2 linked regions of the Cricetulus griseus genome follow. The main gene of each other region encodes a partner of the protein of the gene in region 2 in a complex. Links are inferred from orthologs where the notes say so. Each region holds a gene or a part of one and is shown on either strand. Other genes may lie near its edges.

What was found. The genes of interacting proteins can lie anywhere in the genome.
Region 1: the proteins of Irak2 (region 2) and Irak4 are in contact, whole or in part, in a crystal structure (PDB 3MOP), measured with the Homo sapiens proteins. The link is inferred for Cricetulus griseus from reciprocal best matches to the Homo sapiens genes IRAK2 and IRAK4. Residues at the interface, in NP_001561.3 of Homo sapiens: Tyr6, Ile36, Lys44, Met48, Glu59, Trp62, Trp63, Trp64, Gly65, Met66, Arg67, Gln68, Ala69, Gln73; in NP_001107654.1 of Homo sapiens: Asp24, Phe25, Pro28, Gln29, Lys34, Glu92, Phe93, Phe94, Ala95, Pro96, Ser98, Val105.

The regions. Positions count from the first base shown.
Region 1 is NC_048595.1:391,031,264-391,038,617, forward strand, and holds part of Irak4 (interleukin-1 receptor-associated kinase 4), read left to right. Parts: exon of another isoform or gene 1-148; intron 149-5,121; 5' UTR 5,122-5,128; coding exon 5,129-5,289; intron 5,290-7,354.
Region 2 is NC_048601.1:31,150,197-31,157,550, forward strand, and holds part of Irak2 (interleukin-1 receptor-associated kinase-like 2), read right to left. Parts: intron 2,183-7,354; coding exon 2,000-2,182; intron 1-1,999. UniProt on the Homo sapiens protein: Binds to the IL-1 type I receptor following IL-1 engagement, triggering intracellular signaling cascades leading to transcriptional up-regulation and mRNA stabilization.

The sequences.
Region 1 (7,354 bases), on a different chromosome or scaffold from region 2:
AGAGAAGAGCAGAAAGAGCAAAGTCCAAGAGAGGGGAAAAGCTCCGGTTGCTTTCGGAATGGACACAGTGCCCCCGAAACAAGATTTTAAAAATCCGACTTTTCCGATCCTGGGAGTAATCCTTCAAGACATACGTCAAAGAGCTCAGGTTTCTTTTATTCTCCTATTTTCATGCTAAACATTTTTGCTACCTACATGTTCCAGACTGACCTGATTTCCGAGACCAAACTCAGGCCTTACACTCTTGTATTGTTTCTGGCCCAAGCAGAAAATCCTAGTGCGATCTTCGCACTCTACATCAGTAGACTTCTGTGGATTGCCCTGCAGAATACATCTAGCACTGGGACGCTAGAGCCCCTTCATACCTTCCACGTAAATTTTTTGTGCACCCTTCTAGTCGCCTCTTGCTGTTTCTTTGTCCTTATGCTCTACACCCTATTGTCTATGGAAACCTCCACTTTTGCATTGAATATAAAACTGTCTGCACTCGTCTCAGAAAGTCCACTGTCTGTTCTCTCAACTCAGAAGATAATCAAGTCAGTTTAAAGGTTTAAGGCCCTGGAAGTCCAATCCCTCATTTCTAATCTGCTCCTTGTGCTGGTCCGTGGACGCTGTTAGGTCTCACACCCAAGACAAAAGGCTAACTGAGGCAGATGCTAGCCACCAGGTTCTCCCAGCATCCCTCAGTCCCTACCTCCAGTTCCTGGCATACCCTGCCCCCTTACCCTAAACTCTGGGTACCAGCCCAACTACTGGGCTTCCCATCCCCCAGCTCCTCTGGCCCCTGTGTAACAGTCATTTGGGCTATGCCAGTCTCTGAGACCAGGCCACCACATTTGGTAGGCAACTCCTCTTTTGTTCTCTGGCCCCCTCCTCATATGGTCAGGCTCAGTTTGGCCATGTTCTCTCTGGACTGTCCCAGATGTCTCTGCCTCTACCTCTGCCTTTGCCGCTGGCTATGCTCTCTCTCACATCTACAATAAACCCCTTAGGAATAGTCATACCCTCCCCTTTATGTCTTTCCTTCATTCTCAAGTACCTCCAACTTCTGTGCCTATTACTCATTTCCTCAGAACTTTTCCCAGCAGACATCCCACTGATTAGAGTTCTCATTCCTGTGTCTTTCGTCAAGATCTCTTGAGGCCCATAGCGACTAACCCCTTTAAAGTTGCAGCCCCTTGTCTCTCAATCTGCCACTGTCTTATTTACCTCTCTGTTACTGTGAAGGAAAAAAAAAAAAACACTATGACCAAGGCAAGGCTGAGTGTAGGATTCTAGAGGGACAAGAGCCTACACCAAGCAGACAAAACAAATGAGATGCAGCACCAGCTCAGAGTTCACCTCTTGACCCACAAGCAGGAAGCAGAGCTGCCTGGGAACATCCCAAGTCTTGAAACCTCAAAGCCAGTAACACACTTCCAGTAACACTTCCTCATCCTCCCAAACAACCACCAAATGGGAACCAAGTATTCAAATGGGGGAGACTTAGGAGGGCCTTTTCCTTCAAATCATCACAGATACCATTTAACATAGGTAAAATGCATTCTTAGCTTGCTACCTTCTTCCTCCATTAGAATAAAACTTCCTTGTGTTCTTGTCTCCCTTTTCTCTCTATTTTTCTGGATTAATGTCAATATCAATGACAAATAGGACACTTTTTTGGTGAATGGATGACAGTATATTCAAAGCATTTTAAGTTGCCACTGAAGTAAATCTGAATAGGAAACATGGGTGTTGCCCGTGGCATCTAAAAGGTCTTTTTGCAGATGTATCAGGGACACAAATGGAGCTGTTGTAGGATGAGAGTCACTGGAAGAGCTGATGTGGAACATTTTTGTTTGGGTATAGGGGAACGTTCAGTAAGTAGAACATTCAAAAGATGGGGCAAAAAATGTGAGTTTGAGGATAAGAAGGAGGAAAGGAGTGATGGAGGGGAGGAGCCAGAGTGGGAGGGAACCAAATGCCTTTATACAGGAGGAGACTTGCAGTTGGGTTTTTGTCTGAATTCAGTGTCTTTGGACCCCATCACAAATCACTTAGGATTCTCTTGTGCCTAAGCAGCTTTGCTCATAGGGGAGGGCACAAATTTCATCCTTAGCAGTCAGATCTAGTCTTTTTAAATGTTGAAGTACTGCAGTAGCTAAGGAGTTGAGCTGGTCCTGAAGGATGTTAAGCTGATCTGAAAATGCTGTAAGTGTCTCTGGTATCTGGTGAGACAGAGAAGTTAATTGATGCAAAAGGGGCTTCAGTCCAGCTGTTTTAGTTCTGAGTCCTGGAAACAACGCCCAGGGTGGCAAAAAGAGGGATAAGATGGCTTATTAGTTCCCCCCTCGGAGGTCACCCAAACTGCTCTGCAGGGGGAGGGGGACTTAGGGGCACTGATTTCAATGGCTTCAAGCTGACAAAAATGAATGATGTTATGGGATCACAGTTAGGGAGTCTCAGAGGAGGATCCATTCAAGGAGCCACAATAAAACATGACAGATGGGAAACATTCAAAACGTAAGTTGGGAGGTAATAACTGTACAACCTTGTGTAGGGAGAGTTTTTCTATCCCACCAGGCAGCTGTGTCCCACCAACCAGCTCCCAAATAACCACACAGAGATTTATTATAAATGCTCAGCTGATAGCTTAGGCTTGTTGCTAACTAGATCTTACATCTTAACCCATATTTCTTATGCCACATGGTGGCACCTTTTCTCAACACGACATGTTCATCTCCTGCTTCCTCTGCGTCTTGCTGGCGACTCCTCATCACTTCTCCTTTCTTCTTCCCAGTGTCCTCTCTGGCTCTCTCACCTAACTTCTTCCTGCCTAGCTATTGTCCATTTAGCCTTTTATTATGCCAATCAGAAGGTGCCCTGGCAAAGACACATCTTCACAGTGTACACAAAGATTATTCCATAACAACCTTGTGGGACTATTAAGAGGCAAAGTTAAAGAAGAAAAATTTTTAGATCAAGATTAACCTAAGTTTTGTTTGCTAAGGTTAAGTGATCAGTTGTTTCTAGGTCTGTGATGAGGGGGAACTTCATGACAGAGAGCACATAGTGGGACAAATCTGCCTACTTATGGTGTGGGAAAGGGCAGAGAGAAGGAGGAAGGAAAGAAAAGAAATAGCAAGGGGAACAGAGTCCAGGCCCATCAAGAGGAACATAGCCAGTGAGCCTTTTCATTGAGGTAGGTCCTACCTCCTAAAGTTACCACCAGTTCCCAATATCTCATTAGGCTATGAATCCATCAATGGATGAATATATTGATAGATAATAGGAGAGACTTCATGATCCTAACACCTGCCAAATGCACCCCCAACACAGAACACTACTATGTTAGGAACAAAGCCTTTAAAACAAGAGCTTATGGGAGCTATTTCAAATCCAAACCATACTGTCCAATATCAGTATCTATAATGTATAAGTTGCATTAATGAATAGAATGAGTTTGGTCCTTAACTCATGAAGCTGACAGTCTAATGGCAGAGACAGGTGGTAAACAAGCAACTAATTATAAATTAATTATGCAGGGGTGAATTATAATTAGGTATGGGAAAAAAATCAACTTATGTACATATGATAGACATTGAAGGCCAGAGAGACATGAATGCTAGCATAGACACTTATATACAGACAAATGTATTTTTTACTGTTTTATAGCTTTTATATTTTGCACCATTTGAATATATGATTTACTCCCAAGATTAACTGTATTTAAAAAATGAACACATACAGAAAAATCCTTGAGATAGGAGTCTGTTTCTCTTGATTAACAGGAAGGAAGGAAGGAAGGAAGGAAGGAAGGAAGGAAGGAAGGAAAGAAAGAAGGAAGGATTATTGTCTGTTGAGAATGAGGGACAGAGAAAGCACAGAGAGAGGTAAAAGTAGGAAATGGCCCCAAAAGACATGGAGAGAAAAGAAAAAGGTTAAGTGCATGCTGGAGGCCCAATGGAAAGGCGGTTCTCATCAGTCTATCCAGTAGTCTACGACTGAGCTCAGCAGCTCTGTGTACAAGGAACACTGGGAGGTGTCTCTTGGCTGCAACCTCCAAGGTGGAATACTAGGAAACAGGAGGGTTGATCAAATAAAGGCCCTATCATGAGAGGAGCCACAGAGGTGGCCATGGATTCCACTGTGCAGAAAACAGTTGTGCCGACCTCAGGCTCAAAACTGTTCGAGGTTCTTTGTGTGAGACATGAAAAGTAGGTGGATGGGTATGCCTTTAATGCTATATAAATTAGGGTTTTTTGTTGTTGTTTGTTATCAAAGAGGTTGCATAAAAAATGTTAACAGGAGATGCTGGAGGGATGGCTCAATGCTTAAGAGCCCTTGCTGCGGAGGACCCAGGTTCAGCTCCCAGCATCCATATGGTGGTTCATAGTCATCAAGAACTCTAGTTCCAGACCATCTGGTACCTTTTACTGACATCTGGGGGCACCAGACCGGCACATGGAGCACATACATACATGCAGGCAAAATACTCATATACATAAAATAAAATGAATAAATCATTTTTTAAATGTAACAGTAAATGGGTACTGATTGGGAAAAATACTTTAAATTAGAAGATAAGTCTCTTCTATTCATTTCATAGATTTGATTCCTAAACATGCTCCCAGGTCTCTCTCCAATAAACATCTTGCTTTTTATAAATTTCACGTGGAAAATTCCAGTGTCAGAATGAAGTTTTCCAATGTTGGTTTGTGGGGGTTTGCTGGGAGAATAATCCTAGAGGGTGATTAGACACCTTTCAATCAGAGGTGGGTTGGAGCGAGAGTTGCTGTGTTCAGATGGTCAGTTGTAGCATCTCATGCATCTTACCAATGCATGACATGCAGCTTCTAGATGCTGGCTCTGAAACTGTTGTAAAGTTGTGGGGTCTTTACATTTTTTGTTTGTTTTGGTTTTTGTTGTTTTTTTTATTTTTACTTATTTATTTGTTCAGTTTTCGAGACAGAGTTTCTCTGTATATCCCTGACTATCCTGGAACTTGCTCTGTAGACCAGGCTGATCTTAAACTCAGAGATCCACCTGCCTCTGCCTCCCAAGTACTGGGAGTAAAGTTTTGCACCACCACTGCCCAGCTGACCTATTGTAAAGTTTCAATGAGAATTTTTCATATTTCAGGTAGAAGATGAACAAGCCTCTGACACCATCCACATACGTACGGAGCCTCAATGTTGGACTCATTAGGAAGCTGTCTGATTTTATTGATCCTCAAGAAGGATGGAAGAAATTAGCAGTAGCTATTAAAAAGCCGTCTGGTGATGATAGGTACAATCAATTTCATATAAGGTAATATGGTGTTTATTTTTTCTTTTTAAATCCTTCCCATCACAAAAAAAGGATTCAGGCATAAACACTGTCTAACATAACTGTCTCTTCTCATCTCTGCTTGATTTAGTAGAAAATACAAATTCAGATTAAAATTTGTTGTTGTTGTTGTTGTTTGTCAAGACAGGGTTTCTCTGTGTAGCTTTGGAGCCTGTCCTGGCACTCACTGTGTGGACCAGGCTGGCCTTGAATGTGCATAGATCCGCCTTCCCCTACCTCCCAAGTGCTAGGATCTAGGCATGTACCACCACCACCCGGCCTCAGATTTAATTTTGTGCTATATTTTGCAGTTAAAACTTAATGTCAAAAGTTTGTCTTACATAAAAAGAAAAATAAATTATTGTTTTGTTTTGTTTTTTTAAATAAATGTGATAAAGACTCTAAAGGCTGGGCTCTCAGATTGTCCTTCCTGCAAGTGTACGCTCACATGAAGGCAAACATTTTAAGGTACAAGGGAGAAGCTCAGCTTTCAAACTTGAAAACCAGATTTTCAAAGATAGTTTGTTGATATTTCCATTAAAAATGCAAGGTTGTCACAGCAGTCGTTCTAGAGAGAAAGGGTTCTTCCATACTGAACAGTGCCACAGGCATTGGCAGAATAGTAGAATTTATGTTAGCCATGTATAGCCACCAGGGACGACTGCTTCCCATGAGCCTCATGGGGCTCAAACATAAACGTTTTGTCCACAAATTTTGTATGCATTAAGAAAGAGAAAACCAACTGTTGCTAGTGACAGGGTCTTGCATAGCCAAGGCTACCAGCTGACCAATTGGTAAATCTAGATGGAGGGCAAGTTGTTGCTCACTGTGTTATTCTTTCAAAGTTTTTGTTAAGTTTGAAATTTTTCCAAATATAACCCTGGGAGGAAAAATCAGAATAAGCTGTTTGTGTTAAGTTTACAGTGTTACTTTCTAATTTTTAATTTTAAAGAAATGAGATGAAAAATAAAGATGTTTTCCGTTCTATTTAATTAAATAAAGTTGAGATCAAAGTGTAGGCACATTCTGCTTCATGAGGCAGGCTTGTTCATTTTAAAGTCTACAGCTAGAAGACTGACTAAGTCATGTAAAGTGCATGTAAGACACTGCAATATAGCTAAGTGGTTTAAAAGTGTATGCTTTGTTCGAGAGAGTTCAGAATTTGGATCTAAACCTGGGTAACATTTTGAGTGTGCTGTGTGGCTCACAACTGGCTACTCCACCCATCCCAGTCTAGCACTCTCATGGTAACATTCTCAGCTGTCTCTCTAGCGATATCCTGTAGCTCTCTGAGGTGGGTTTGACTTGTATATGTGTTTGTGTGTTTGTGTTAACTGTGCGTGTATGATAAGTGTCCATGTTTGTGGCGGTCAGAGGTCAGCATGGGGTGCCTTGCTCACTCTCGATCCATCTTGTTTTTTGAGACACGGTATCTCACAGAGACTGGAACTTACAAATTCATCTAGACTAACTAACCAGTGGGCATCAGGAATACAGCCATCACTGCCTGTGCAGCCCAATATTAGAGAAGGCGCTCTGCACTGGCTGTTCTTCGCCTGGATGCTGGGGAATCTGAACTCGGGTCCTTAGCCTTCATACTGGCAACGACAAGCACTTTACCAACTGGGATATCTCCCCACCCCAAAAGTTAGCTTACAATTTTTTAGCTCTTTATTTTATTCCATGTGTATGCATTGCTTTGTCTACATGTATGTATTTGCACCACATGCATACCCATACCTGTGGAGGGCAGAAGATGGTTTTATATCCCCTGGAACTGGAAATGCAGGTAGTTGGGAGCTGCCCTGAGGATGCCCTGGGAAGCAAACCCTGGTCCTCTGTAAGGGCAACAGTTTTCTCAACCACTGAGCATCCCTCCAGCCTCAGTTGTTAACCTGAATTCTCTGGCTCCTTTTCTGCTGAGTGTCATTCTCCTAGATGGGGTACTTCTGGTTCTCTCATACTCCGGTTCCTTTACTGTCTTCCGGAGGGTCAGTGATCCGGACAGGAGGGGACTCGGGAGTGGTGACAAGATCAGTGTCTATCT
Region 2 (7,354 bases):
ATATGAGCTGGCAGCTCCTCCTACTTCCGGGAACCCTCCCTCATGTAGGCCAGGTTAGCCCTGAACTCATTATGTGGCCAAAGCTGGCTTTGAATTCTTGCTCCTCCTACCTCTACCTTCCAAAGGATTGCGTTACAGATATTTGCCATCACACCAATTTCAACACTATCATTTCCCAGCATCTGTCACATTTCAGTTTTCTAGGAATACAGAGAAAATTGAGGTTACAATCGTCAGGGGCTGATCACATGATCAAATGAAATGCCTCTTGGTTCCAGTGATCACAAGGACCAAGGTTCCAAGAGTCCCAGAGAGGGCTCTGCTTGGCATCCAGGCTGGTGCCTTCACAAGACAATGGTGGGGTCTGTACTCTGAAAGTAGGGGAGTCTCCCAGGGCTGTAGCATGGGCCAAGCCTGGATTCACTCAGCTGTGTCTTGCCCCAGGCCTCCCAGGCTGGTCCTTGGGAATGGAGACAAGGAACAGTAGTCTGGCACAGCTCAGAACAGGACAGGATAGGTTCCAGCCAGTTCTAAAGCACTGTGAGTCAAGCAGACTACCCTGTCCAGTCTGAGGGAAGGTGGACATGGAAGGAGACTGGGCAGGGAAGGACAAACAGGACAAAGCCAGAGACTGGGGGAAGCTATGGCCAATAGGCAGGGGCTTGGTTTATGAGACGATTTCTGGGAATGCAGAAGCAAGCCTGGCTGGACTCTCTCCTGCTGCAACAGGCACCTCCTATTTAAGCTCCAAAGGGAAAATCATGGAGTGTGAAAACCCTGGGTTCCCACACACATTAGATCCCAGGGAGTTACCCAGCAGCTGAAAAGTAGACACAGTACCAGGGTGGCCCTAAAAGCCCGTATGCTGCAGCTCTGAGCCTGGTACACTCTAACTCCCATCCTTCTCTAAAAGAAGGCTTCTGGTCAGGTCATCCAGGCAAGTGCTACATCAGGGTCTCTGGCACAGAAGGCAACCATTCTGGTCCCCACACAGGTCAACTTCAAAGCCCAGGCTGGGACTTTCCAGGCCTCAGATGCTCCTTTTGTTTTTTGTAGTGTTGGTGTTGGAACTCAGGGCCTTGCACCTCTAGGCAAGTGCCCTACCCCAGAGCTACACCCCCAGCCCCAGCCTCATCTTTTCCTGGGCTCTCTGACCCGTGGCCATTTCTCTCCACTCCTGCAGTGTTTTCTCTTTGGCCTGGCCGTCCCTGGCCACAGTCTTACCAGGCTTCCCTACCCAATCACTTTTATCTCCTGATCTGTTTATTTTCCTTTCCTATTACTACTGGCTACCTGGCTCCCCAATATTTAATTTTTTTCAATTTATTTTTTTTTCTGAGTGTTTGTCTGGAGAGGCACAGCTGCTACAACACCCATGGGGAGGTCAGAGGACAACTTTTGGGGGTCCCTCCTTTCACTATGTGGGCCCCAGAGATCAAACCCAGGTCATGAAGCTTGGCAACAAATGCCCTTACCCACTGAGCCATCTTCTTGGCCTCCATTTTTTGGTTGGTGGTGGTGGTGGCTGGTTGGTTGGTTGCTTTTGGTTTTTTCTTTGAGACAGCATTTCTCTGTGTAGCCCTGGCTGTCTTAGAACTCATTCTGTAGACCAGGCTGACCTCAACTAATGAGATCCACCTGCCTCTGCCTCCCAAGTGCTGGGATTAAAAGTGTCTGCCACCATCACCAGCTCCAATATTTTTTTAATTATAAAAATAAAAAGTTTTAGGTCTCTGGCTAGTTAGCATGTCTCCTGATAAACCCAGTGCCACGAAGGGTACACAGCAGGCCTGCAGATAATATCTGATAAATAAATGACTTGGTGTGTGAATTTTAACCTGGGAAAAAGAAGGGTCCTAGGGCTAGAGTGTAGCTCAGTGGTAGAGAGCTCATCTCACCGAGTTGGTTCCACCCCTTGTACTGATAAAAGATGGACAAGGTCTTCAGACAGACACATTAGCCCTTGCTGAGACCCCCTTGGGAACAGATGGTTACTCACAGCTCTGGACAATCTGGGCTGCTCGGTAGAGTTCCAGGTGACACAGGAGGTCCACCAGCTGCTGGACAGTGGCCTGTCGCATGGCCCACCACCACAGCAGCTCCCGAGTGATGCTCACACCCTGTACCCTCTCCATGGATTTGATCTTCCTCAGCTGTGTCAGGTCTGTGATCACATAGGAGGCTGGAAGACAAGAGAGGACTTTGCTTAGAGCTAGAGCTGCTGCCTGCAAGGGAGAGGCCCTTCCTGCCACACTGCTCCTCCCGGGTGTCAGCATGGCTACTGCACCCAACAGGAGGAAGATCACAAGACAGGAGCCTGGGAGTCTTGAGTAGAGGCAGTGTCTCTGCTTGGGATGGTCTCTTCCCCAGAAAAAGCCTCAGTGGGGAGCAGAACTGTGCCCACTTCATCTAAACAGAAACCCCCTGAAGGCAGAGAGTTTCATCTCTCTCCAACAATGTCACATCCCCAAATGGAGACACTGCCTGGCTGAAGGGAGGGCAGCAAGGTAGGGAGGCCCTCAGCCTCAGGGACACCCTGCTCTTGGGGGACCCCAACAAATGTCCTCTGATGTTGTTCCCTGAGTACCTGGCTAAGTCTCAACTCTGGTGGGAAAAATCCATAGATCTGTGATGGATGAATGAACAAATGAACCCATGGTCACTGTCCTTATGGAACTGTCACAGGGACAAACACAGCCCATGGGGTTGGCACTTTGCTAACTGTGACACTCTGGGCAGAACTGCAAGGAGCTGTGTTGGCAATAGTGCAAAATTATGCATTCCTTTTTTTGTTTGTTTGTTTTTTGTTTTGTTTTGTTTTGTTTTCGAGACAGGGTTTCTCTGTGGCTTTGGAGGCTGTCCTGGAACTAGCTCTTGTAGACCAGGCTCGTCTCGAACTCACAGAGATCCACCTGCCTCTGCCTCCCGAGTGCTGGGATGCCACCAATGCCCGGCTATGCATTCCTTCTTTTACTTTTTGAAACAAGGTCTTACTGTATAGACCAGACAGGCCTCCAATGCAATAATCCTTCTACCCTTGTCTCCCATATGCTAGCATTACTGGCTTCCCTTTGCATTTGTTTGGTATAAAATAGACGGTTGTTGCAAGGTGTTGGTGGTGCTTGCCTGGTCTCCAGAGCGAGTGCCAGGATAGGCTCCAAAGCTACACAGAGAAACCCTGTCTCATGAAGAAAAAAAAAAAAAGACGGTTGTTGTCATGGAACTACACGGACAATCCCACCCTCCCTGGCCAAGTCCACTAGGCCAGTCTCTCTCATCCTTCACAAGGTGCTGGCTTAGGTAAGACCCTGTTCTTATTTGTTAATGTTGTAGTTCAAGCCTTCTCCCAATTAATCTAGGTTCCTCTTTTGTTACCATTTGCCAAGCTTGATGGTGAACACCTTTAATCCTAGCACTCTGGAGACAGATGCAAGAGAATTTCTGTGAGTTTGAGGCCAACCTGGCAAACATAGTGAGTTCCAAGCTAACTAGGACTACATAGTGAGATTCTGTATTAAATTCTTTTTCTAGAATTATTATTGTTATCACTGTTTTATTATCATGGTGCTGGACACTGAGCCTAGAGCCTCATTTCATATGACTCTACTCAGAGCTTTTCTCTCCAGCTCATAAAGTTTGTTAGTTTGGTTGGATGGATTTTGTTTGTTTTGCAGAACTTGGGTTTAAAATCAGAGTCTCATTCATGCTAAACCACAGATCTACATTCCCAGCCCTTAAAAGCTATTTTTCTTTTTCTTTTTTAAAATAGGGTCTCACTATGCAGAACAGGCTGGCCTCGAACTCACAGATCTGCCTTCCTCTGCCTCCCAAGTGCTAGGATTACAGGCATGAGCCACCATATCCAGCCCTGCCACTGAATTTATTGACATAAGGGACACATTTAAAACAAACAAGCAGGGCTTTGGTGGCACAAGTCTTTAGTCCCAGCACTAGGGAGGCAGAGGCAGGCAGATCTCGGTGAGTTCAAGGCCAGCCTGGTCTACAGAGTGAGTTTCAGGACAGCCTCAAAGCAATACAGAGAAACCATGTCTCGGGGGAAAAAAAAAAGAAGAAAGAAAAAAAATAAAACTAAAACAAACAAACATTGAGAATGATGTAGCCTGGGCAGGTATCGTGATGGAAGAGCACCTGCTAGCATGTGCAGGTGACCCCAGGCTCCATCCCCAGTACCGCAAAACAAAACAGAACAAAAAACGAGGAATTAAAAAAAAAAATCAAGCCTTAGTCAGGCAGTGGTGGCTGGTGTCTTTAATCCCAGCACTTGGGAGGCAGGAGGATTTCTGTGAGTTCGAGGCCAGTCTGGTCTACAAAGCAAGTTCTAGGACAGCCTGACTCAAAAAACAAAAATAAAACAAAAACCCCAAAGCAAATAACAGCAACAAAATCAAGCCTTGGTGCCAAGAGTTCAAAAATCCCAGAGTGGGGATTTATGTGAGCACAAAGTCAAGTGTCTGGGGGACTGTGGTGATACAATGTTTGCCTCCCACCAATGAGGCTCTGGGTTCAGCCCTAGCACCACAAAATAATTAATTAATTAATTAATTTAAAAAAGGCATTAAGTACTGTGCTGGAGACGGGATGAGCTTTAGAGAGAACAAAACTCCATGGAGATTTTCTGTTTGGATTATGGGCTGGGAGTGGGGGGAGCAGAGGACAGGAAGGCCAGAGACAAAGCTCAGAACTCCCTAGGACCATAGAAAACATCAGAGCCAAGATAAATACAATGGACCTTATACTGTCAGTCCCCTCTAGATAAATGAGGAAGGGGTGAGACATTCTCCTACAGAGAAAGCCTCCAGGAGAAGTGCCCTGTAGGAATGGAAAGTTCAGAGTTGCTGTTTTAGTCACTGGAAACTCCAAACCAGATTCCTAGCCAATGGGAAGTGATGCAACAGCCCAGAGTCCCCTTCCCACTGTTCTCAGGGGCAAAGAGGAAGGAGTGATGTCATGACAAAGCCAGCCCAGTGAGGGTGCTGTGGACTGGGGCTTGGCCCGCCAGAGCCTTGACCCTCCCTGAATTTCAATTTCCTCCCTGGAGAAATAGGAAGTGAACCTCAGGGTGCCTTCTAAAAGGGAGAGTTTAGTCTACACCCAGGATCGGGATGTGCAGAGAGTTGGGGGAGTTAGTCACTGCCAAGGTCCTCGATAGGCTATGGCTCTTATTAATCTGATCAAAGTTGTCCTTATCTTCCTACCTGGGAGACCCAAGGAAAACACTGGCTGCATTCTGGCAGCTCTTTTCCCACCCTTTCCCCACAAGTGTGAATGCTACAGATCTGGTGTTCCACAAAGGGCCCGGGGCTAATGGCTTGGTTACCAGCTTGGTACCTGGAGAGGTAGGAACTCTAAGGGATGAGATCCAGAGAGAGTATTCCAAGCACTCAGAGATGTGCTCTCAAGGGGCTATGGGAATCCAGCGCCTTCCATGAAGTGGCTTTGCCTGACCTTGAGCTCCACGTCATGAGGCATTGCCACAGGCAAAAGCAGAATCAAAAGACCATTCACTGAAATCTCTCAAGCTGTGAACCAACCCTTTCCTTTTTCTGAGGCAACTCCCTAGGGTGTTTTTTCACAGTGACTGAGTTGGTTGACACAACATGTGAGCAGCCCTGGCACTTCCTTGCTGTACATTTAGGAAAGGTCTCATCACCTCTCCCAGAGCCTCAGTTTTCTCATCAACCTCAGAGGAGGCTACAAGAACTAGATGAACTCTATACACTGGACACCTGGGATAACACTTGGCACTCGGTCATGGGGACATAAATGTGACATTGCTCTATTCTGATTGCCAAATCCTGGGAAAGCCTAACAGTCCTGCAGAGCAGAGGTAGCCCAGCCTCCTGAAACGTCCCTCTCCCAACTAGCCAAACTCCACTGTGTTCCCTCAGTCTTTTACAGATGAAAGGCTCAGAGACATACAGTCACTTGCCTGAAGTCACACAGCTAGGCAGTGCACAATGGCTTCTATGCACTGGAGAGCAAGGAGAGTGGTCCTACAAAGGGGCTCCTGTAGGAGTCCCTCTGTACACACCCTTACGGTAAATGAAACTATAAGAAGCCCATTTAGACAGGTTCAGGCAGACACTGCAACTCTCTTTCCCAGGAGCAAATGAGTCCAGTTGTGACTACTGAGAAACCATCCAGGGACAGCCTACCAACTGGGTTAGATCCCAGTGTGTGTTTTTGTGGCTGTGGGTTTTCTTTTTTCTTTTTCTTTTTTTTTTTTTTTAGTTTTTTATTTTTTATATATTTGAGTTACAAACAAGATTGAATTACATGACAATCCCAGTTCCCTTCTACCTCCCTTCCTCCCCTGGCTGTGGGTTTTCTAAATCACTTTTAGATCTTCCCACACCCCACACCCTCCCTCCCAGGACCACAGCTTAAGATCGCCTTTCTCTAGAATGACTCAGAAGTCAAGACTTAAGAGTAGAAGGACAATCATCCAAGCTCTCCCTCCTTTGGGACATGGAAAACCAGAGTCCTGATACCAGCTGGCAGCTGCATAGCCAGCTCTGGGCCCAGTGACCCTGACCCTCAAAGGGAGGCCCAGCCTTGGGCTCAGAGCAGCCTGGGGTGAGACGATGCCCCACCCATGCGTCATTCTGTGGGTTGGGTGCTGAGCACCTGCCCACTTGCCCAGCAATGTCCTTGCCTCCAAGGACACAGTGAAAGAGGTAGCTCAGTCCCCACTCACCGGGCAGATGTGTTACTGAGTGAGGCTGAGGCAGGGAGAGTGAGGTGAGGTATTGGAGCTGGAGGTGAGAGCCAGAGCTGGCAGGCCTGCTGAGTAATGTCCTTGATATCCGCAATCAGTGATGCCTTAGAGGACTGTGGGTAGGTAATTCGGTCATCTCCAGGACTTGCAAACTCAGAGCAGTTCTCGGAAAAGGGTGTGTAAATGGCCAACAAGCAAGAACCGAAAAGAGGGACAAGGCCAGACTTTGATAAGATAAATAGTAGCCCTCCTATATGGAGGGTGGGGTGTGAGCCAGGGCAGTCCCTCTGGAAAACAACTGGCGGTGTGTCCCTCTAACGTGCAGTACTCACCCCCGGGGCCTGTGTGTGTACACCCAAGGGAGATGTATCCACATCTCCCTTGCATGCATCCACAGGACATACTACACAAAATGTCCACCGAGCATCATCGTGACTGCACAAGAACGAGAAGAGCCCAAATATTCATCAATGGAAAAATAGAGAAGCAAAATGTGAGACATCCGTACGCTGGAATATTACTTGGGTCTAAAAAGAAACTGGGACAAGGGAACTCACTCTGTAGACCAGACTGGCCTTGAACTCACAGAGATCTACCTGCCTCTGCCTCCCAAGT